3 linked regions of the Drosophila melanogaster genome follow. The protein of the gene in region 2 interacts with the protein of the main gene of each other region in a pairwise test. Each region holds a gene or a part of one and is shown on either strand. Other genes may lie near its edges.

Region 1 (9,056 bases), on a different chromosome or scaffold from region 2:
TTTTTTGACGTATTGCAACAATAGGGTTGTCCATTCCTTCTTAGTGTGTTACATAATTTTTAAATAAATAACCATTTCGTATTGAGGTTAGCGAAAATCGGCTGTTTGTGGCTTATCCCGGAATAAAGTAATACATATAATATACCTTACTTACTGGTGCGTTTTCTCAGACATGTTGAGATCATATGAAAATTGGAAGGCTAATTAAGAATAAGTAACCTACTTATTATGTTAAGAAGGAATGAGATTAAATTACCAAATTTGCTTTCGAATGACAAGTAAAAATAGGTAAGTTTATTATTTAAACTGAAAGAGAGTACTTACAGCTTTTAGGGAATCGCATTCTTTTTCAAGTTTATTTATTCGAGTCTCTAATGAAACAACATACTCCTTTCTTTTTTTGCGTGATAAGGAAGCAGACTCTCGGTTCTTAATCATACGTTGATATTTTTTGTAGATCTTATCATCCATTGTATGTGATGGAGTGCTTTCTTTCAATGATTGTATAAAAGTTGCATTTTTTTTCTTAATAACGATATTAGAAATCTTAGACCTGACATTAACATTTTTCTTTAAGGTTCTATCACCGTTACATTTCACTGTTGGCAAAAGCCCTTTGTAATCATGTGAAGGTAAATAAATTGTCCTTGACAAAGGTAAAACTGTTTTTGGAACTTGATTATCTAGATTCAGCTCAGTATTTATTGGCCAGCTTTTGGTTAAAGTTGAATTATTCCTTGAAGTGTTATATGAATTAAAACCCAAGTCTTGGGAAGTTTCCGGAAGTTCGTTTTTTATATCTGATAGATTAGAAATCGTGCTGTTGAATTCTTTGTTGGGGCTCCGAACTTTAGCAGGTTCAAAAAATGGATCAAACTTATCTGAATCGACTAAGAGTGGATAGACCGCCTCTTCGTTAGAACATCCATTTACATTTGAACGATTTAAGCTTCTTGTGGGAGACGAATTAGGCTCAGGTAAATCATTTCTACTGTTGGTAAGATCCAATTGAAAATTATTGTCATTTACATTTCTTTTAAATTCACCAGAACACGCTGAAGGAATTTGTTTCAAACCAGAAATCGGGGAACTCAAGCTAAATTCTGAAGTTATTGGGTTTGACGAGAAATGCAATCCAAAGGCTTCTTTTTGAAGATCAGGTATTAATTCACTTAGATCTAACGATGTATCATTGTAGAATGCTGATGAGTTCAGAATGTCGTGTACAATATTATTGTCGTAGTTATTTTCAGTCACTTCTCCCAACAGCGATAAATCGTCTGAAAATAAACATGGCGTCATTTGTCTTAAAGAATAAAATATTATTAATCTTAAAAATATTACAGGAATATAAGAAAATGCTATAGTCGGGTATCCCGACTATCATGTACCCGTTACTCAACTAAATTACAAAATAACAAATAGTAAAAAACTGTGGGCATGACAGTGTTGAGGCATGGGCAAATTGTTTTTTGTATATCGGTAGAAATCGGCCAGGAGAAATAAAACTCGAAAAGAGAAGGTTTGCAGTTCGATTTCATTCGTCTCTCTCAAATAAGCATGATGTGGCAGCCGGAGTACAACAGGAAAATGTACTTGGGACTCTGCTTTACTGTTTGTACAGCTATGACATGCCGCTGTCAGACGCCAGCCTACCCGGGACGTCAATGATGGAAACATTTGCAGATGACGTGTGTGTCACCTACAGGTCCTGCTTCGAACAAGATGCTCCTGATGGCATCCAGGACTTTGCATCAACATTTGCGAAATGGGCAAGGCGCTGGAACATGGTATCAATGGTGACAAATCAGCGAATGTGTGCTCACAAGCCACAAGCCTGGCAAGCCGGAAAGGGAGCCCGCCTCCTACCGGCTGATCAGTCTCCTCCCTTCAATTTCTAAGGTGTTTGAGAGACTGATTGCTGTCCGGATTGTAAGGATTATGGAAGCCCGGGGGATTACCCCTGAGCACCAGTTCGGTTTTCGTGCTGGCCACTGTACTGTCGAGCAGCTCCCTCGGGTCGTCGAGAAAATTCTGACTGCCTACGACAGTAAGGAATATTGTAACAGCCTCTTCATTCGAGAAGCGTTTGATCGAGTGTGGCATATTGGACTTCAACTAAAAATCAAGCAGACGCTGCCTGCTCCATATTTGGGATTGCTAAAGTCGTACCTGGAAGGAAGGAGGTTCGCTGTGCGCTTTCATTAAGCAATTTCCACCGAGCACAAAGTGGCAGCTGGTGTTCCACAAGGTAGTGTCCTCGGCCCCCTGCTCTACTGCCTGTATAGCCACGACATGCCGCAGCCGGATGTAAGCCTTTACGGAAAATCAATGTTGGCGTGATGACGTGTGCGTCACCTACAGGTCCCGATGCGAGCACGACGCAGCCGATGGTATCCAGGACTTTGCAGACCGGTTCTCGGAATGGGCAAGACGTTGGAACATTGGCATCAATAGCAGTAAATCCAACAACGTCTGCTATACTTTAACGGAGAACGCCACCGCCCGTCTACATCGAGGAAGCCCCCGTACCACAGCCGAACGCAGCAAAGTACCTTGGAGTGCTTCTGGATTGCAGACTCACATATGCCAAGCATGTGACCGGCATCGGAACGCGCCTACGTGCTAAGGTGGCGAAGCACTATTGGCTACTTTGTTCGCGCAGTAAATTGTCGCTATCCAACAAGCTGACAATTTACAAACAGATCTTAGCACCAAACTGGAAGTATTGGTGGCAAATCTGGGGCTTGGTATGCGACAGCCAAATCAAAAGGATCCAGGCTATCCAAAATAAGGTCGCAAGACTCATCACCGGCTGCGAGTGGTTTGTGCGAAACAACACCCTGCACAGAGATCTGAAAGTCGCAACGGTATTTGACGAGATAAAGCAGCACTCGAGTAGATACCATGACAGCTTGGGGCGCCACAGAAATCGGCTGGCTAGCGCTCTAAGCAGACCTCGCCCACCAAGGAAGCTCAATAGAAGGTAACCGAGGATCTCATTTCCCGATCTCCTTTGACAAGGGTCAGCAGAAGCTGACGCTTATCTTAAATCCTATTTGTTATATGTGATTGTTATGTAATTGTAGTAAAATTACTGTAGACTTGAAAAAGCTAACTATAGTTAGCCGACGCGCCCAAATGGGCTGAATTAATAGAAAAGAAGGACACAAAGGGGCTCCAAGATTTCCCCGTATGCCTTGATAAATAAATTAATTTTAAAAAAAAAATCCTGGATAGGAGACTCACCTTCTCGAAGCATGCGTATGCGTGCACCATTTTTGGCTTATAAATTCGCGAAGTAAATTGTCACTATCCAACAAGGTGATAATTTACAAGCAAATTATAGCTCCAATATGGAGGTACAGCTATCAAATCTGGGGCTTGGCCTGCGACAGCCAAATCCGTCGTATTCAGGCTCCCCAAAGCAGAATCGCCAGGATGATTACCGGCTGCGATTGGTTCGTAAGGAACACAACAACAAAGAGCTCAAACTAGCCACTGTCTTCGAGACAATAAACATGCACTCTAGCCGGTACCACGACACGTTAGAGCGGTATAGAAATATCCTAGCCAAGGCACTAAACAAAGGTCGCCCACCCAGAAGGCTCCACAGGTCACCCTTGACGAGAGCCAGGAGATGATGATCTCATAATTGTTATGTAGTTAAATGTTACTTATATCATTTTTATTTAATTGTTATTTATATCATTGTTATTGTAATTAGCTAACTTTGTCAGGAAAAAATTAAATGAAAAAATTTAAAATATCAAACCATTGTAAACTTACAAGACTAAAAAAATATGAAATACTTTCAAAACTCCTGCGGCGACGTTGTATTATTATAATTGTTTATTATACATACGTCGACAAAATTTATCGCAAAGGCTGTTGGTGAAACGAAACAGGCAATAAAAATACTTATAAAATATAAAATAATTCATTAATAAATTAAAAAGGATGACTAAAAGTGTTGTTCGAAAAAAATCCTATTTAATTTAATAACTTAATTGCAGTGAATAATTAAAACTGTCGAATGGGCCGCTCTATTGTCTGAAAAACAGCTTAAACAGCTGTTAACTGTTTACTAAACATTCCGATAGCAAAAATTTGAGAATACAAGAGTAACTTACGCAGGAATCGAAAAAAATTACACTGTTGCAAGATACATATGGTATTATCAACTTATCAAAGAAAGGGACAAAGTTTTTGTAAGGTTGTCCTGTTTAAACTGCACGAAATAAGCTATCACTTTACGTATGGCAATGCGTCAGCAAATTATAAGATTTATTGATAGACAGTAATGATAAGGACGCGAATTTTTAATTATTAAGAAATCTTTTAATTTTATATATTGTTGTTTATTATTCAAATATCGTATGTCGTACTTCCCTTTTATGTTTTTCTCTTAACCTTTGTTCAATCGATTTCTTTTAATACATACATTAATATACATTTTATTTTTTATTCCATTTCGCTGATTCTAAAGCAGAAAAAATTAGGGTGCCAGCCACTCATTTCACATTTTACACATATTCATACATATGATGAATTTGATAATAGATATTAGGGCAAGACTTTTTCAACTTGCTTTGCTTGTCACTGACGAGAAGGAAACTTACTGTATAAATTATATTCATTGATGTCCATAGCTAATCGGCCATAGAATTCGAATTGAATATGTTTACTGAACCAGAATTGATTACCACAGCAAACGTCAGCAAATACACGACGTTTTGGCACATTAAAATATTAATTATCAATATATACTATAATAGTAATTTCACATTTTAGGCTTATATAGTAAGTGTACTTTTCACATCCGTCGGAGCGGTTGAGACTTCCTAAGAAATATCGATATAAAAAAGTAGTTTCAAAACTATCACAAAAAACTATTAATCACCATCTACTGAGGACGGATTTTACCTTCTTAGCTTTATATCCACTAGTTGTAGAGTACAATGCACTATGGGTAAAAAGCCGGGAATTTTGGTATTAATTACAATTATAAAGATAGCGACTTGATTTTTTTTATGTTTATAATTAAGATTTAAATAGAATTTCGGATTTTGTTTATTTTTTGATCTGACCACGCCTTCATCTCCGCCCACCAAAAAAATCCTTGAATATAAAGTGAAAAATGTATTTATATACATATGAAAGCGGGTTTCAAGGGAGATGGATGGTGGGCGAAGGATTGGCGTGGGAGCGAAGTGAAGACACAAGATACAAAAACCAATTTTATGAAATAAAAGTCAAAATTTTTTTATATTTGTTATCCATCCTTGCTTCTGCTACTTTTGAATAAGGATGGAAAATATCGCATCCTTTATGCTTATTGAGCGGTTTTATATTATTATATTGCTACTTTGTAAATCCATGTTCAATTGGGAAAGCTAAAGCGTTTTCAGCACTTATTTTAATAGAATGATTTGTCTCAATTTTCTTTTTTATATTATGTATGTTTTCAATTCCCTTTTTTTCAATATAAAGGCCGTTTCTGCCTGCTTCGTTGTTTTCCGGAAAATGAAGCAGCATGTACGAGAAGTGGAGTTGAATGCCCTTATTCTGCAGCCTGCTTATTTGGTAATCTTTTGCTCTTTAGTCTCAAAGTTCTCTTGTATATTTTCCACAATATAACTGTTAATAGCGTCTGCATCGCGTTTGTTGTTGCTCCATTTTTCCATTATTAAAAATAAACTCCAAATTTGCTATGAAGACAATGTTTACGCTGCACATTTGTTCAACTTTTTCCGACCATTTTCGCAATTCAAAGCACCTCTGAATCAGCTGACTTTGAAAGTGCGCCAAAAATAAACGATAACTCGTAAAAAGGTTTAAAACATTTTTTTTATGCTATCTTGTTACTTAGAAATCAAAAAATGAAAGGAGCATTAAAATATCAATCACAAAAATATTACATTAATACAAAAATTTCCGGTTTTTTACCCATAGTGCAATGGTATACTAGATTCATAGGCATGTATGTACTATAAGAGGTAGAAAGCAAAGACACTAGAATAACAAGATGCGTAACGGCCATACATTGGTTTGGCACTATGCAGCCACTTTTTTGGTGACGGCCAAAATTACTCTCTTTCCGCTCACTCCCGCTTAGAGCGTAAGAAATCTAAAAATATAATTTGCTTGCTTGTGTGAGTAAAAACAAGAGACGAGAACGCGTATAAGTGTGCGTGTTGTGCTAGAAGACGATTTTCGGGCCGAAATCAATTCTGATCGAAGAAACGAATTTACATGGTACATATTAGGGTAGTTTTTGCCAATTTCCTAGCAATATGATAAAATAAAAAAATTTTTAAAAATTCGCGCCCTGACTATTATAATTTTAAAGCTTTTTAAATTTGTTTGTTAAAATCGCCGCTCGAATTAGCTACCGTTTACACATTTATATTTATGTTTAATTCTAATTTGTCTCTCATCTGACAATTTTTTAAAAGCGAAATATTTTTTTTGAAACACTTTTAATGTTAATGTTACATCATATTAAGTCAAATGATTTAATAAATATACTAAATAATTAAATATGATAACTGTTTATTGCAAAAGTAATATCAAAGAAACTAGAATTATTCTAGTGTCTTTGCTTTGTTCATATCTTGAGGCACGAAGTGCGGACACAAGCACTCAACAATCATTGCCTTATTAATTTTTCACACGCCGCAAGATGAATACTCTAAAAATAAAAATAAAAATTTATTTTTGTGATAATATGTACATAGATTTGGCTATTTCTAATCTATTTTGAAATAATAATAACGTTAAGGCAATGCAAAACAAGAATTTTTCGCATGGTGCCAATTGATCAAAAATAATATAGATTTAAAGTCTAAGAACTTCTGAGGTGAAGGGCATATTTTGTCAAATTTACAATGCATGAGCATACGTGTGCACACATAAAGTTGTCTGCTATCACTGTATGCGTAGAAAAGAGCGGTTCGCTGTAGCGCTCTTCGCTCTCTCGCTCTCTAACAAAAATTCGAGAGAGCCTGGAGCCACCTCTAGAGCCACGGCCAAAAAATTGTGTGCCAAAAAATCGTATGGCGTTACGCATCTTGTTATTCTAGTGTCTTTGGAGCGACCGTGTAGGCTTACAAGCAATAGGACCAACTGGGCGAGGTACAAAAAATATGTTGTTCCCATACCGGCTTTTTTAACCCCTGGCAACCGAGCAAGACATTGATCAGTTTGCTGGTGATATAGAATCAATACTTTTCGCAGCAGTAAAAGCGTTAACTCCACAAGACAACCATGTAAGCAGGATAAAGTTTAACAAGACAAGTTGAATGAATATTGAAATGCTTGTGCTTGAAAAACGAGGACTTCGAAGGGAGTGGCAGTAGCACAGATCACGTGGCGCAAAGAATAATTAGAAGCAGATTCTCGCAAAAGCGGACGCACTACTAAGGTACATCGAGAATCTCACGCCCACAGGAACAAAAAACTCGTTGTGGAAAGACCACAGGAACCTAAAGGCACCAACAGACACGGTTGTACCTCTCCGTAACTCTTCCGGAAACTGGTCTCGCAGTGACACGGACAGAGCAAGAGTCTTCGCTGATCACTTCTAAGGTGAAGGGCATATTTTGTCAAATTTACAATGCATGAGCATACGTGTGCACACATACAGTTGTCTGCTATCACTTTGTGCGTTGAAAAGAGCTGTTCGCTGTAGCGCTCTTCGCTCTCTCGCTCTCTAACAAAAATTCGAGAGAGCCTGGAGCCACCTCTAGAGCCACGGCCAAAAAATCGTGTGCCAAAAAATCGTATGGCGTTACGCATCTTGTTATTCTAGGGTCTTTGGTAGAAAGCGAATCAAAAGCTATAAAGTATACGTATTCCTTATCAGAATCACTATACGAGTCGCTATGGCCATGTTCGTCTGTCCGTCCGTATAAGAGAGTGCCCCGGAACTCTAAAAGCTAGAAAGATTTGAGATGCTGATTCTAGTGACGGCCGCCACGCTGTAAAATGTTATTTCATAACGTTACCATCCTCACTTAAGCGCCCACAAAATTGTCACCCCACTATTGAAAACAGCTCCAGTTATTATCGATTTTATCATTGGACTTGCTTTTTTTATCGATATGCCAAAACTTTTAGCAGCCCTCTCTAGCGCCCACAAACCGAACTGGAATTTTTATCTCCATTGATATATTTTATTATTTGTCTTGTAAATTCGTAGCGATAAAAAGTTCCTTAATTAACCAACACTGTCACGCCCACACTTTTGATAACAGATTTAACTTTATTTTTGTTCTTCCAAATTATTTTAAGGCTTCCCAGCACTCCTCTTACTATCTGAGTAACGGATATGTTTTTTCAGATAACCGATTGTATCGCTCCCTCTTGTTCTTTAATATTTAGCTTGATAGCTTTTTTACTCGCTTTATAACATTATCAAATTTTATTTTATTATAAATTTCTTCCAAATTAGTTGAAAATTTTATAAGTTTGCCTTTGGCCGTAAAGAAAGCAGCTTTGTAATTATGCCTCCAGCAGAAGCGTCACTTGTTAAGCAAAAAAGTTATGATTAAGGAAACAAGTAAAAGTAGGAACTATAACGCACACAAACCACCAAAAACTTCCGTTCAGTTGACTTGTCAGAAAAAACTAATAGAATAAGTACGCGTACATTAGCGAAGAAAGTCAAATTACAGATATTAGATAGAAAAATATTATGCGTTCGGTTATCGAATTCGTAAATGCCTTATTTTATATCAAATCAGATTTTATATACTAAGGGAAAAAATAGTTTACTCAATGGTCCATTGCTGTTTATTCCACATCACCACAAGATCATTCTGCCACTTAGTTATTTCATACAAAATTTATTTCTGACCACACCTCAGATTTAACAAACAAAATTTTGATTCGGCAACAAAAATTTTCGAGGTGACAAAAGTTATCGCGACAAAAAGTAAGGCGGTCACACTGCTGGTACAACTGAACAGGCAGGTAAAAATAATTTAAAGGACGGCCAAAAGTGTTTTTCTTAAATAATGAAATTTAATTTAATTACTTAGAGAAATTTCAAA
Region 2 (7,099 bases):
AAATATTGCTATATGAAATCAGACTATAAGGTTTTCATTTTATACTTTTTCAAAACTAAACCTTCAAAGTGAAAATCTTGTGATATAAACAATAGAATATTGCTATACTGCATTATACTATAAGGGTTATAACCGACTTTAAATATCATTAGTAAAGATAATGTTTTATGATATACAAGTACATAAATATGTAAACACACACACATATAGGTTTTTCTTAAAGCAGTTTATTTATTGTTTAAAATTTTTAATACATTTAAATGCAGTTCGAATTTTCATTATTGTAAATACGTTTACTACTGCTTTTACTATTTTACAACTATACGAATTTAAAAATATATACATATATCCTTAACTTTTCTATTCCCTTTTTAAGTGAATTCTTAAAAGTAATCTTTGGACTTAATTTAATATTCTAAACCATTCAAAGTGAATAATCCTTGGTATATTTATACAAGGTTATCCTGGACGCAAGTTGATACAATCGTTGCTATCATACAAAGTTATATATTCTCGATTCTGGATCATAATATTTTAAATAGACATTTTTACCTATTTATTTTCATCTACATAATTCCTTCTTGTTTCTCAGAAAAAAGCAAACTTTTCAAGGCTAAAATTTCCCATCGCTGAAAAGATCTACTCCTTAGAAAAATATATGGGAATCTATTTTCCCATCCACCATCCTGTTAATACAACATTATATAAGACAACCTTTAATTGTATCATTGGTGAAAGCACTTCCTGGTAGGATATTATTGCTCTTTTTAAGGTCATTCCCCTTGAAGGAATGAACAACACCTACCCTGGAGGACCCAATGCAATCGATTCTCTGCGTTCCAGAACAGATGAAAATTGATCAATATAATAAAAGGAAAACAATCAAACAATACGACAATCTTTCACTGTAATACTTCAACTGAACAAATAACCAACTCCCACTCCGCTCCTGCTTATTGACTTTGGGATTCCTCGAGGAGGGCTCGTCTCAAGCCCACCTGAAATAAATCCGCTTAGGCGGAGGAACACTGAAATGTGAGAACCATCTACCACATATACATTCGTTCCCTGACGGCATAAATCAATGGACAATGGACCATTGAATGAAACGGAAAAATCCGACATAATGCCAAAGACACGAAACCAGGGAGCAGAGGGAGGAGCATTCAGTAATTGCCGGTTTTCTAGGTTTGCTAGTATGTACATGTACCGGGAGATTCAGAAACTCCGAGACGGTTTTTCTTCAGCTGTCCAAGCTGAAAGTCATAAACGCTTGTTGTTCGAATCGAGATCGGGCATTGAAAACTGCAGCATGTCTGCTATTCAGGTGCCACAAAGAAAGCCGAAACAATAGCGGGTCGGCCGGCAGACAGCCTGGACGAATTGAGCGCCAGGATTAGAGATTACACAGGGATCCTCTACACAGAGATCCCTTTTTCGGGCCCGACAACAGGTAATTTCGTCGAAAATCGTCGGCCACGTAAACAGACGAGGCAAGGACAACAACTGGTTTATGACACCCTTTGAGAAGATTGCCAGCCTGCGGATTAGGAACTCCCTATTCCCAATTCAGGTAACAGCAGCCGATTAGTTTTGGTCCCATTTTTAGGGAATGAATGAAATGCGTTGGGGAAATACCTGATCCGTTTTACCGTGATCCCCAGGTACGTGATGGGAAAATCTTTGCCATTTGGCCATTCCGTTTTCGTGGGAGGCTCTGCAAGTTACCTAATGTTGCATAAAACGGATGGCCAGGAGGAGGGGCAGCACAGTCGTCTCGAAGACAGCAAAGCGAACACCACTACTCTTAATCAAGAATGGATAACTATAACCACAAGAAATTCACTGGAGCTCTGAAGCGAAAGCGCAGCATGGATGCGGACTCTGATGACGATGTGGTCTTCATTATGGAACAGCCGGGCCAACGCACTCCAGAGCAGCCGCAGCCTAAGCGTCGCTTCTTCCGACCCTGGATGGATGAGTCTCCGGAAGAGGAGCAACCACAGCCGCCACGTAAGATTGTGGCTACATCGACACCGCCGCCACAACAAGTGGATGGCACCTACCACGCTAACATGGTGCGCAATCACCACAAGCGCCGCCAGCGCAGTCCACAGGAGCAACTGCGTCGGGATCGCAACACCTTGGCCAGCCTGCGCCATCGACGCTCCCAGCAGCAACAGCAGCAGCTCATCGAACAACAATACCTGACCAGTCGCATTCAGCACGAGGCCAATCTGCAGCAGCAGATCCGCCTGAGTCTCTACTATGTGCGCTTCCTGCAGCAGGCGATGGCCTCCACGGAGCCACTGCCTCCCACACAGCCAAGGCACATGATGCCGCGCCAACAGACCACCACCCAGCATCCTTGAAGGGTGGACATGGTGCAACGACTGGGCGCTGCTCAATGCGCCCTAACTTATTGTAGAAAAGCTGAATAGTGATTGTGATTACTTTTAAAGTTTAATTTATTTATCTGGTTGACTAAACAATAAACACACTAATTGTTATCGAAATAACTTGTAATTTTTATAGAATTTTGTAATAATTGGTTTTTAGTTGGTTTCTGATTGATTGAAATCTAACTCGGGGTCTTATTTATTGAATCTTATTTGGAAGTCTGATATTTCTTTTCCGCCGTTTAACATCATGAGGATTTGTTCTAGACCAAAACTGACCGGAAGCATCAGCTCATAAGAGTTACCTCACTTGGTTTTTCTGCCATTATATAACATTAAATACATCTTATGTAATTAATTTCTTGGAAGCGCAATTTGCAATGCTAATTAAGGTGTGAAGTAATTCTAGTGATTCACATAGCCAGACTACAGTGAGAATTGAATCGATTCGGCACGAGTGACATATTGTGGGAAACACGGAATAAAATTGTAATTTATTTCAGTTGGATTTAATTATTTAATTTATAAACAAATCAGCATAGCGAACGAACAAAGTGCTTGCAAAATAATTAAAACACGGTGACAATAAGATCCGCCTTTATATTTAAATAATCATCAATGAAATCATCATATTGTTGTCCGCGATTAAAAATTGCGCAGATAAATAAATCTTAATATACTAAATTATTTACACGAATAGTGTTTTACTAATTCATTTATATATATGATATATGCCGTATACATGTTTGTACGAAGTTTATTTAACTCTTTAAATATTTTTAAAGGCGTGTTTTACTACCTAAACTAATAAATGGATTAAATATATTTAATTCACCTCTCAAGACTTCCATGAATGCAATTCCTTCTCCGTAAACTGAAATCGCATCTGTCAGCAGTCTTTAAAAATCCTTGACACTTTTTTCTAACCACCGACCAGGACATATAATGCCATGTCATTCTAGAGGAAAAGTGTTCGGCAAAGGACCCTCGAGAATTTCCAGGGAATTAAAACAAAGTGTGCTGAGGAACCAGGAGCCAAAGGGACCACACACGGTGCCACAACAAATTGTGTCATGCAGGTCAATAAAAAAATGCATCGCCTGCATAACAGTTGTTCGGTCCAGAACTTTCCTGTTCCGGTGGCCACATTTGTCCGATAATCCAGGTAATCCACACACCAAAAAAAGGATAATGAGGCAATCCTGCGACGACAATTAGCGCTGTGATAGAGCAGGTCATAAAATATGCTGCTTAATCCAGGACGGAGATTACCTAATGCGGAATGGATGCGCTAATCCCTTTGTTGACAGACCCAAAACAAAGGGATTTCCCTATGTGGCTACCTGTACCGCCTACCTACTGTGCTTATAACCAGGATATCAATCTCGAAGCCAATCATTCAGCAAGCGATCGTCCAACGAGTCACATCATCACCACAACTCATTCGGAGTCATATTATCGAAATACAAAAATGGAGAACTCATCGAGCTACACCCACAAGAAGTTTGCCGTCAGCAAGCGGAAACGGGAAGTGGACCATGACAAGGAGAACCAAACTCAGCAGTCGGAACAGCCGATCTTCAAGCGCCGTCAGACACAGGGATTCTTCCGACCTTGGTTGGATAATGAGCAGAACCAACAGGCGGAGAAGGAGACGTCAACGGCGGCGAAACCCAGTGGCCCAGGATCCTCGGTCAGCCAGTACCGTGCCAACATGGTGCGCCGCAGTAACACCAATCGTCAGCGAAGCCCCAAGGAGCAGATGCGCCGCGATAGAAACACGCTGGCTTGCCTACTCAGCCGGCGGGCCAAGCAGGCACAGGAGGAGCAAGTGGGTCAGCAGTACGAGCAGTATCGGAGTCATCATGCCGCCATGCTGGAACAGCAGGTGCGCCTCAGTCTATACTACCGCCACATCCTCCAACAGGCGGTGTTCCAGCGTGCCATAAATCCGGCACCGGGTCACATCCTGCCGCAGCAGCAACAACAGTTCCTCCAGCAGATGGCCCTCTCCCAGCAGATGCTCATCTTTGGTGGCCAGCACTGCTGACCGTCCAAAATCATATCATAATCAGCGACTATGGATAGCCCAATCATGTGATTTAGTTTATTAAGCCTTAATTATTAATATTTATTGTTGACTTTGAAATAAATCAAAAGTTATGCATTTAATTTAAATTGCCGGTTTTGTTAACTGGGGGTTATCACTTGGAAAATTCGAAATTTAATCTAAAATGATTGTTAAATTTGTTAGGAGGTCAGTGGATCGCAACCATTACATTTTTTTACATATGTATAATAATGCTATATATATTAGGATTTTAAACATCTTTAAGTTAACCCACCGGCTTGAAAAATAGTAAAATTATATAAAATGATTAAGAGATCAATTATCATTTCTAATTTAATTACAACCTAATCGTGATCATAATATATAAAATTTATGGTATAATTTTTAGCTCAATAAAACTAAAAGTACTGCTATCAAAAGTAGATTATCTATTATTTGATATGACTTTTGGTAAAAAAGGGCTCAATCAAGGGCTCAAAAACCACTTACTCCAGTGACTTGTCTGACCACTGGAGTAAGTGAGTCATCGAAGCATTGACAGATTTTTCCGAGAAACCATTTACCCAGAGTGCCATTACCCAGCAAAGTTCAACTAATTGTTGTCTAGCTAATTTTCATGGCGTTCTCATTTCGTGGCGGCTTTCGTCAAGGTTCAAACCCGCCACAAAGAACCACATTTTGGACTGGGCCAAGCTTTTTGGCATCGCCTTCAACGCGGTGGATTGTTGGCTAATGATATTGACAGAGATCGGATGTGGCGATATGGAGATATAGACAAAGTCCAAGCAAAGCTTCAAGTTCAATTGGCCAGTGAGACGGAGTTTTGCAAGCACACACAGCTCGAAGCGCAGAAATGCAATTTTCAATGTTAGGCCAGTTGGAAAAAAAGAAGAAAAAAGCCAAAAACAAAAAAACCAAATGCAGCCACAAAAAAAAAAACTCAACAATTAACTGAAATTGATGTTTGGCTGCATGGTACAAGTGCAAAGTGGTTTACTGGGTTGTTGGAGTTGCGACGGAAATTTGCGCCATAGGAAGTCGGACTGCCACAAGTACTATCAATGAAAATTAAAAGTAATTAACTGCTCGCGCACAGCGATTGCGCAATCGCCAAAAGAGTTAATTATGTTATGTGCAGGGGGCTTCCCCGGCAGCATGAATACTTCGACTAAATCATAGCTCCTATTTTTCACTCACAGCCCGATGCAGTTGGCTGCATATGAGGCGGGTGCACTCAGTGACGAACATCAGCCTATGTTTTTTCCATCGGATCACCCGAACTTCCTCATAGACCGTTGATTTTCTACATGGTTAGGCATTATGCAAGTTAGCTGGAGTGAAAGCAAAGTTAGGATTGCAATTGGCTTTTCTCTTGGTATGCATCGAAACCCTTTCTTTGTGACCTCATTCTATGAAATTAGTTAGAATTGGCCATTACAAATTGATTAATTAACAATTACACGAGTAAATATTTTAAGAAATTCTATGAATAAGCAAACCCTTGAAATTAATATCAGTTTTCAATTACTTTCAACTCAAGCTAGACAAATTTGCAACTAACAAGCTAACGTTATTTCGCTGAATTCATTCACACTTTTGGCCATGTTCCGGAATCAGTATGACAACGACACAACCACTTGGAGTCCGCAGGGTCGTCTCTTCCAGGTGGAGTACGCAATGGAGGCGGTGAAACAGGGAGCAGCCACCGTGGGACTCAAGGGCACCGACTATGCCGTGCTGGCCGCCCTGTGCCGCACCTCAAAGGACACGAACACGCTCCAGCGGAAGATCATGCCGGTGGATGACCACGTGGGTATGTCTATCGCAGGACTAACGGCAGATGCCCGCGTGGTGTGCCAGTACATGAGGACGGAGTGCATGGCATATCGGCACTCCTATAACGCAGAATTTCCGGTTCGCCGTTTGGTTTCCAATCTGGGTAACAAGCTGCAGACCACCACCCAGCGCTATGATCGTCGTCCCTACGGTGTGGGCTTGCTGGTGGCTGGATACGATGAGCAGGGACCACATATCTACCAGGTGATGCCCACGGCCAATGTGCTCAACTGCAAGGCAATGGCCATTGGATCTCGTTCGCAGAGTGCTCGCACATATCTGGAGCGAAATATGGAGAGTTTCGAGGACTGCGACATGGATGAACTGATATGTCATGCCATTCAGGCCATTCGAGGATCGTTGGGTTCCGATGATGTCGAGAATCTCACCATAAATGTGGCCATTGTGGGCAAGGATGTGCCGTTTAAAATGTTTACGGAAGCCGAGAACCAGAAGTATGTGAAATTGGTCAAGGCTATGGATCCACCTCTGGAGGCGGACCACGATCCTCTATCCGAGGAGGGAATGAGCGATGATGACATGACGGACCACGGACCGAGTAGCAGTGGAGTTCCACCCAATGATACATCTGACATGGAAACCACTGCATCCACCGGCGGCAGTGACGCACATTGATCTAATCTGTGATTAGAAACCCTGACAGAGTATACTAAATTTATTGTTTCGTTAATAATGTTATTAAAGTTTATAGTTATTATGTTGTATGGCTGCTTCGTTTTTGTCAAAGAAAAAAACAAGAAACGGTTAGCAAGGAAATTGAATTCTGAATTAG
Region 3 (8,977 bases), 8.1 Mb from region 2:
GGCAGACTTGATTAGCTAACTCAATGTTAATTTTATGTCTTGCAATTACTTATAACATAGCAACCTGTAACTTACCATATGCTTGCATAAATATATAGGTGCTCATTTTTGCGGCAGCAGTGAATCGTTTTGTCGAATATTAAGTGTTAACCCACAAGTTTTTATTAAAAAAAAAAATTAAGACGGTAAATGGTATATATATACCCCCAAATGAGTAGACTTACCTAAACCTAACAATAATCGAGTTTTAAACAATAGCTATTTAAAAGGAGAATTCCTTATATTATGAAGATAGAAAAAATATTAGCAGTAATGTATAATCAAATTTCCAAATGAAAGTAAGAAATCACAGAATCAAATTAGAAAGTACAAATAAAAAGCTGGAAAATGGGTAGGTTAGGCTGGTATAAGTTCACCACATTTTCTTATTAAATAAAAAACAAAAACGGTACGTGGTAAAAACGGTAAAAACGTGGTAAAACGTATATGAAAAGTATTAAAAGTTTTAAATTGCATGAAGGGATTTGAGTGATTGGTTTTTATTGTGCGTCTGTCCTTCGGTTGCTGGATTTCTGTCCGTAGGATTCAACTGCTGCCGCAAAGTGGTCGGCGTGGTTGAAAATCTGAAGTTCCTGCTTAGCGTCGTTTAACCAACTTTTGCGAGTTTATCACAATTTCACGGTTCCACATGTAACGGTATCCACAGTGTGGTATCATGCTAACAAAGTCCTTGGAGCCCGCACTCGAACTTTCAGGTGGTCGCGATTGTCCCGTGAATCTGCAGATTTTCCGAGGTTCGGCTACATATAGTTTCCAATCGATGATCACCTCAAGTGGAATCTAGCCGTTTTGTTTTCCCCTGTGGCTTAAGTTAGAGGTGCGAATGGCCTTCGCTGCCAGCCAACTTCACAAAGTGGGAAAGCGGTATCCGCTTTAATGCTCAATGCAAAGATTCTGCACTTTATTTTAAATGATACACCAGATTTCCTTCATATAAATTATTTAACACATTTTTAATAATATTTTTATTTTCGATTGGCTTTTTAGCGTTTATAAAACGCGAAGACCTGTGCTTGTGTGGTTACTGCCTCTCTTCTTATTTGTTATTGTATTGTTTTATTTTAAGCCGTTTTCTTTGTGTTGGTGAGTAAAGACGTATATGTTCAAGACGTGTGAAATGCGGGGCGGCAATCAAAGTTAAAGCCGAGATTCAATTCGAGCGCTCGCGTCTGAGTAGCGAATTGTACTGAGTACCGACTGGAAACCGCGCATGGTTTTTGCTCGGCTAACTAGCGGGCAAGAGCGAGCGAGCACCACTGGGGAAGGCAGCGAAGCTCAGAGAGCGCCCTGCATTAAGATCAATCTGTTGGTTTATTTCGAGCCCGAGATGCTATCAGCTGAGACAAGCGGACAGTCACAATCTGCGCCAACGGACTCTGCACAGTGGTGCAAATTTAGGTGTTTTGTTTTATTGATCTGTAGCTGAACAAAAATGAAAATAGCTGGGAATTTGGAATCTGGTTTCTGAATATTTTTCCGTTTAACTTTCGTTTACTTTATGTCAAAATCAATATTTTACCACAGCATTGCTCAGCCCTTTTAGTTCTTCAAAAATTGCATTTCTAAATTACACAGGTTTTCTATACAGTATTATCAACAGCTTGCAGTGTGCACCTGACCAGTCAGTAACTTTCCACCCTTGACAACAATCAAGTCTCTGTGCAGGTTGCTCTCAATTTTAGTTGGAATAAAGATTATATTACTGAGAAAAATTCAGTAAAATTGAAACTCCACTTTCCATATGCATTACACAAACTATGTACAATGATATACTAAAATTATTAAAGTATTAGCAGAATCGTTCGTATATGCATATATGTACAATATACATGCTTGAGATGTTAATAGTAGTAATCTCCCAGCATCTTGAAATAACCAATATAACTTCATCTCCTTTTATTTAAAAGGTATTTATAAAAATCTACCTGAATGAGCCTTAGTGACAGTCTCAAAACAGGGGGCACGTCATCCGTAAAAATTTACATTTCAAACAAAGAAGCTTCCTGATCGACCGAAAAATACATACCAAAATTATGATGGTCATAATGTCAAATGGTTCATTGATCGCAGATACTTAATATATTTCACTAACAAAACATACACTATAAGATTAAGCTTTCAAAAGGGGCAGAGTCATAACCACCAGAGAATGGATCGAGTTCCTACCTTTAAAATCATACAACCCAGCTGTTATCTATTGAATTCTTAATGTATTACCCGAACGTCAGCAATGAGTCGAGAGAGATTGCTACAGAGAGAAGAGAGAGTCCAGCCGATCACTCGCTTAACGCGTGATCAAGTACGCAAAAAACCGATCAAAAACTGATTTCATTGCTCTCGCTTGATCTGAGTCTTTGTTGTGGCCTGGAAATTGGCCATTACAGCGCTTGCTTGGCGCTCCGTTGATAAACAATAATAAAATGCACGGTGAAAACCATAATACAAAAACACGCTCATGCTCAAGCTAAAGAGGGCCAAAATACCAGAAACATACGCTAACGAAAACAAAGCAAACTTGAAACCGGTTCCTCAACTTTACCTGTCGGAATTTTAGGTTCAAATGCGATGTGCGAGACCCTAATGACTCAGACAATGAAATCCACTTGATCTACACTAATTATTAAGAAAGAGCTCTATACAACAAAAGTTGAGTTTTAATATTTATATAAAGATCTTTTTTGCGGGAATTTTGCAGACGTTCAAAGCTCCTGCAAATATCTAAATATTTCATTTTTACTGATTTGCCATAGGTGTATTTATTTAAGATATTTGTATCTAATTGAAAACTCAATTTATTAAAAACTTCTAATATAAAGATCCGGACAATTTAAGGTTCTCAAATATTTTTGGAATATCAATAGAAATGTAATCCCTTTTTCAAATAATTGGTCGTGAGTATGCTTGCTTAATATCAACTTTCTAGCTCTTGTTGTTCCTGAGATTTTGATTATCACTCGGACATGGCCAAATCGACTCGGCTAGTAATTGAATAGAGTCGGAAAAGCTTACTTTTATTTATTAGATTTCAATGAGCCTAGTTTCCCATTGATCTACGAGTATCAGGCATAACTACCAATTATCTTATCATAGTAATCATAGTAACGGTCTTTGCTTTAATATTATGAGCTTCAAGTTATAAATAAAGTTATTTTGGACTTTGAAAAATGTAAGACTAGCAAACATTTGGGTGCTTTAATAAGAACTCTAAGAGGTCGTTCTTATGGGTTTAAGACCTCCTCGCAAATGGGTTTATCTACATTTTGCGCTCAGCTACAGTTACAAGAACATTTATTATTTTACATTATTATTATGTACAAAAAAGTAAGCACACTAAAATATACCTACCTTCATCTTTCAGGTCAAAGATCTCCACAACCATCTCCTCATCACTAAGCAACTGGAGAGAAGCTACCTCTTCCAGGGTCAAGGCTTCATCATCGCCAATAAGAGTAATGCCTTAAATTAAAATCCTTAAAAATCCTTTCAAAAAAACTTTTAGGCACCACAAACCATTTGCAAAGTTATCGTCATACAGCCACTCCGTATCGTTTGAGTCAGTGAGCGGAAACAGATCGGAGCCCAAAACCGATGTTGGGGATTGTGGCTCCATCTTGAGGTCCCAGTACAGCTCCTTGGGCAACTGCAAGCTCTCCATGGTTTGGTGAAATGTCGCGTCCATATCCAGAGTTCAAATCAGGGGTCAAAGATATGTTTTGTTTTGAGAGTATGAAATCCGGTCCGAAGAATGAGAATGGTTGTTTTCGCGGTGTGTTTTGTTGTTGTGAAAATGCCATGATGGCGCTGAGAATTAAAGAAACGAATTAATTATGATTAATTGGTTCGCTGTTCAGCCCACAGCTGTTTAATGACTTATCACGAGTCATAGTGATAATGAATAGTCGCTACCCTTTTAAAAACACTTTTAATCATTTTACTGTACCTCTTATATTCAAATTAATCTAAGGGTAGACTACATTCATTGAAAACTATGAAAGATAAATGTATTTTTAACATTTTATTACCAAGAGTCAATATTGCCGTGTCCACCACCAAAAAAGTTGAGATTAAGCACGCAAATTTTGATTTTAATTTTCTTTTTGAAAACTTCTTTCTCCCCTCTAGCTTAGTAATATAGTAATTATGTTTTAACATTTTAGGTAAATATAGAATGCAAGGGTAGAGCTGCAATCGCGCAGCCGGTTTAAACAGCTCTGTCCTGGGCTGTGTCCGCTTGGGGTAGTCCTTACTGTGGTGAGTCATCTCATTTTCGCACGTGCAGGCGACTTGCAACGCACATTACTCAACTCCAGTCGGCGATTGCGTCAGCCAATTTCTTTACCTTTACCAGGTGGCATGCCCCACTGAGTTTTGATTTGCCACGTTCGCCCGGTCAATTGAAAATCCATACAAGGCAATGCCACCAACACACGTGCAGCAACAATGAATGAGTAGAACGCCAAGTGCGGCAGTGTGCGTGATAAATTGCGAAATTAGCGAGAATTTAGCTTGGTGTATACTCACTTTTGATTTTTATACGTTTCCATTTTGTTGTGTTTGGGCACCTAGGTGCTGCTTGTTTTTGCTTGCGCGCAAACTATAGAGCCATCTTTAGGTTAATATAAATGCCGAAATCGTGAGAGAAAATAACAATTGAACCTTTTTGCGTTTCATTTGGAACGGTAATGAGTGTTGGAATCAGTGTTACCAGATCGGGAAATGCCTTGCTACTTTCTACTAAATAATCCCACCCCTTTTTCTCACAAATCTAAAGCGCACAAAATCATTCGTAAAGTATTATTAAATGACTATATAAAAATTTTGAACTGAACAGCAATTTCATTAAGAACCTTCTAACAGTACAAATGAAAAAATTCTCTGAAAGTATAATGTCTAATATAAGCCCGAGAAAGGTATTTAAGCAAAAGAACATGGGAGTGCGAAATCCTCTAGTCTGCTGATAAAGAATTAGGCAGTTACACTACTTTGTAACAAGGTGTGCAGTTTGAATACTTATTATTAAATTTTAACCGGAACTAATTCAATGTTTATCGATAGTTTTTTGATGTGTGATCACTAATTTTATTCTGGGTATTCTATTCTCTAACTTAAACAATATAGTGAACATAAAGGGAAAATATCCATTTTACATAATTTTTCCTAATTACTTAAGCACAACAATGTTTAAAAAACACATTACATTTGAGTATAATATATGTATATATTCTAGTTTTTCCTATTAGTCTCAACGCATTAACTTTTTATTGATGCGGTTTCAAGGTGCTGTCGGAAAAAGATATAATAGCAATTCCATAAAACTGGAAACTAATTACGGGAAATAGCCGTCCTAAATTCATTGTATTGCAATTTCGGAGCAGGAAACATATGACCTCGTATGCTGCCCTTCCCAATCTTTACGTTTGGGGTGATTATGCTCATTCTTGCGTTTTTCGGCTCGCAGCTTTCAGCCATTTTTAGGAAGAGGGTGCTGTTTATCAGAGCCACCAAATGCTTGACAACCCTGATGGGATGGTGAGGGCTCGCTACCCGCAATAGGTTAATGTGTGCTATATTGTGATTAAACTACGTAGAAGCTTTGTGTTGCGCGTGTGTGCGTGGTATTGGTAGTCCGTCGTGCCTGCTAACTGCCCGTGTTTCTGCTATAGGGGGCAGTTGCAGTTGTACCGAAATTGTGGTGCGCGTGCATGCGCGTGTATATGAGTGGGAACGGAAAAAGGCAAAATGCAAAGGCAGCGCTGAGCCAGAGGTCAAAAGTGCAAACACAGAACTGCTTGTGGAGTGCATACTCTGGATGGCAAGGCCGAATGCCAGGAGTCAAATCGACTGAGCTCCATATAGTAATAGTGGAGAGGGGGACAACATTGCTGCCTGACATCTGCGCATATAGAAGAACACGTACATACATACATATACATATGTATGTACGTTTTCCTAGCTGATAAGCAACGCTAGCGAGGTAGGGAGAGAGAGAGATTTCGCGTCAGCTGTTCATTGTTGTGTTGTGTGCGGCGCACAGGTTATGTGCGTTTCGCAGCTTCGTTCTCCGATCAGTTCTGTTTGTGGAATGAAACCGATCGTTCTGCGCTGGTTCTGCCCGCCTTGTTGGCCTTCCATCAGATCCGCGTGTGTTTACGAGTAGTTGGGGCTTCACTATCTGTTCAAGGAGCTACAAGCGGCCACTGACGTCTCGTTCTGACGTCCGTATCCCCAGCCAACCCCGCCGCGATTGTGTGTGTGTGTGTGTGTGCGAAAATTGTTGTTATTGTGCTGTGTGACGCATATAACGGCAAAAGCGGGGCGTGTTTGCCATTAGAGAAGCTTCGCTCCGGAAAAAGCAACAATTGGACAGGTGTCGATGACGAAAAGCTGAAGGTGTCGGGCATTGTAAACAAATCAAAATCTTAAAACCGTGCTATGTCTCTATCAAATAATCGCTTATTTTAGTAATTTAGTTAATAGAATGACAAGGACAAACACTAGATGAGAGAATTAATAAATGTGTTAACCACGAGGCAAGACAAAACATATTTTTTTTTATAGTCTGCGAACGTTTACATATTTTGAAATGATGGAAAAACCCCATCCAAATTAAAAAAGGGTCAGCACCAGCTTTTAAAAGCCTTTACTACGCGAGAGACATTAAAAAACCATTAAATGTGCCCTCGCCATATCGACATAATCTGCAACCGCCAAAATTTTGGCTCAACAGTAAACTATTTGCATAGGCATCCCCTGGCACCTGTTGAAAATGATGCTGAATAAACACGAGGGATACCAACGCACAAGCCAAATGTTTCCCCACCAGCAGCACCAGCTGCCTCAGCTGCACCAGCAGCCTTATCTGCAACAGTCTCTGTGCCAAAACTTCCAGCAATTGCAGTACGAAACGGGAGTAGGTGCTTCGGCGTCAGGGTCCGCCGAGGCTACGGCAGACCTGCTCAAGGCGGAGCGGGAGTCTATCCACTCCGGCCAGTTTATGGTCTCGCACTTCGAGGCAGAGGAGGCGCAGGACGACCTAGAGGATGACGGCGAGGTGAAGATGCTAGACCCTGAGGACCCCGGTCTGGGCAAGCCGGGCGAGCCAACCAACACATGTCGTGACGTGCAGCTTTACGTACCCCAAACAGTGGCCCACTTCAGCGCCATGGACCAGGAGGGCGACGAGAGCAGCATGAGCATGGTGACCTCCCACCTGGAGATAGAGACCTCGCTCACCAAACTCTTCAAGTGCATGAATCTGGCCTACAGGTGAGTTGAAGACTCGTACTCGAGACCACAACCGAACACCGGGGCCCTGAAGATTTATGAAATGTTGTTTCCCGCTTGTTCACGCGTTTCGAGCGTGATAACGCTCAACTGGCCAACGAAAATCCAGCAAACGAAAAAGCTTGGACCGCTTCGGTCCCATAATCGCGGCACATGTTGAGACGTGACGTCGCTGCTCAGGTTACTTTGGCCCCACATTGCCTCAATCGCTCCTCTGCCACCCTTTATACCCCTCTTTCTGTTACTTCTCCCATTTCTGCAAACGACAGCGCAATCATAGAGAAAATATTAAAGTATTGCCAAAGCAATATCAGAATGAATTAATTTTGCAAAATGAAATGCAATTTGCTTACAACATATTATTATCTGAGACCTTATCAACTAAAAATCTGAATTGTGAAGCTATTGTTTTTTGTTTTTTTTTAAAGAACGAAAAGGATTTGTTTAAAAAAAGTGTTATACAGTTTTAAATTTTAAATTTGTTTGTTATAATGATGGTTTTTAGTCACTATAAAACAGCTACGGTAGTTGTTTGTATGATCCATATATATACGCGTATTGTTAATAACTACGAATTCGGATTTCCTTACATTTTTCACGACCATGTGATTTCATTGTTGTTTTTCACTAAGTGACTAAGTGCTCTAGGAGAGTGTGCGTTCTCCTGGATGCGCTTTAGCGACTACAATATACACGAGGAAAAATATAAATTTAAATTTATAACATGCTTCATTTTGCACGCCCGCCGGTTGTTTTGATGGTGTTAAGTTTCGATGGAAAGACATTTCCAAACGCTTTTTTTGTCTAAATAACATATTAAAAGAGAGAACAACGTAATTGTTATACGCTTCTACTCTACGATTCTAGATACTAGATTAGTTGAAAAGTATGCAACGGGCGTTTCCGACTTGATCAGGATCTATAGCTGGGTCAATCTAGCCATGTCCGCCTGAACGTCGAGATCTCAGGAACCCTATAAAATCTAGAAGTTTAGCCAAGTTAAAACCGCAACTTTGTTTAGCCATGTTGCCACGCCCACTCTAACACTAGCTGAAAACTGTCACGCCCACACTTTTGAAAAACGTGATCATATTTTTTCACATTTTTATTAGTCTTGTAAATTTCTAACGATTTGGAAAAAAATTGTTTTCCACGCCCACTCTAACGCCCTAAACCGCCCAAAACTGCCACGCCCACATTTTTGAATAATTTTTTCATTTTTTAATTAGTCTTGTACATTTCTATCCATTTACAACAAAACTTTTTACCACGCCTATTCTAACGCCCTAAAACCGCACAAAACTGGCACGCACACATTTTTGAAAAATTGTTGGATATTATTTCATAATTTTAAATTTCTATCGATTTTCCAAAAAAACTTTTTGCCACCACCACTCAACGCCATAAAGCTGCCAGTCTTTAGAACAATTTTTAAATGTATTCTCATTTTATTCCCCAATATCTATCGATATCCCAGAAAAATTTTGAAATTTGGCGTTCGAATCACTACCTGAGTAACGGGTATCTGATATTTGGGGAACTAGACTATAGCATTCTCTCTTGTTTATTTTACTTTTTGCTGTTTTTTTTTTTTTTTTTTGAAGCGGCTACCCATTTTAATAAAATTTAAAGT

Evidence for each region. The genes of interacting proteins can lie anywhere in the genome.
Region 1: the proteins of CG16815 (region 2) and Atf6 come close enough for resonance energy transfer, tested with the Drosophila melanogaster proteins (one study listed by BioGRID).
Region 3: the proteins of CG16815 (region 2) and crc come close enough for resonance energy transfer, tested with the Drosophila melanogaster proteins (one study listed by BioGRID).

Annotation. Positions count from the first base shown.
Region 1 is NT_033778.4:5,140,425-5,149,480, reverse strand, and holds the start of Atf6 (Atf6), read right to left. Parts: upstream 4,749-9,056; 5' UTR 4,651-4,748; coding exon 4,623-4,650; intron 2,316-4,622; exon of another isoform or gene 1,303-2,315; coding exon of another isoform or gene 1,281-1,302; coding exon 325-1,280; intron 1-324.
Region 2 is NT_033779.5:13,226,036-13,233,134, forward strand, and holds CG16815 (uncharacterized protein), read left to right. Parts: upstream 1-3,796; 5' UTR 3,797-3,870; coding exon 3,871-4,449; 3' UTR 4,450-4,514; downstream 4,515-7,099. Other genes in the region: CG16813 (uncharacterized protein), read left to right, coding at 1,818-2,372; Prosalpha6T (proteasome alpha6 subunit, Testis-specific), read left to right, coding at 6,073-6,942.
Region 3 is NT_033779.5:21,306,637-21,315,613, reverse strand, and holds the start of crc (cryptocephal), read right to left. Parts: upstream 4,749-8,977; 5' UTR 4,582-4,748; intron 4,422-4,581; exon of another isoform or gene 4,083-4,421; intron 3,862-4,082; 5' UTR 3,740-3,861; coding exon 3,571-3,739; intron 3,517-3,570; coding exon 3,406-3,516; intron 1,255-3,405; exon of another isoform or gene 718-1,254; coding exon of another isoform or gene 637-717; exon of another isoform or gene 107-636; coding exon of another isoform or gene 76-106; intron 1-75. Other genes in the region: CG46314 (uncharacterized protein), read right to left, coding at 637-717; mondo, read left to right, coding at 6,827-7,326.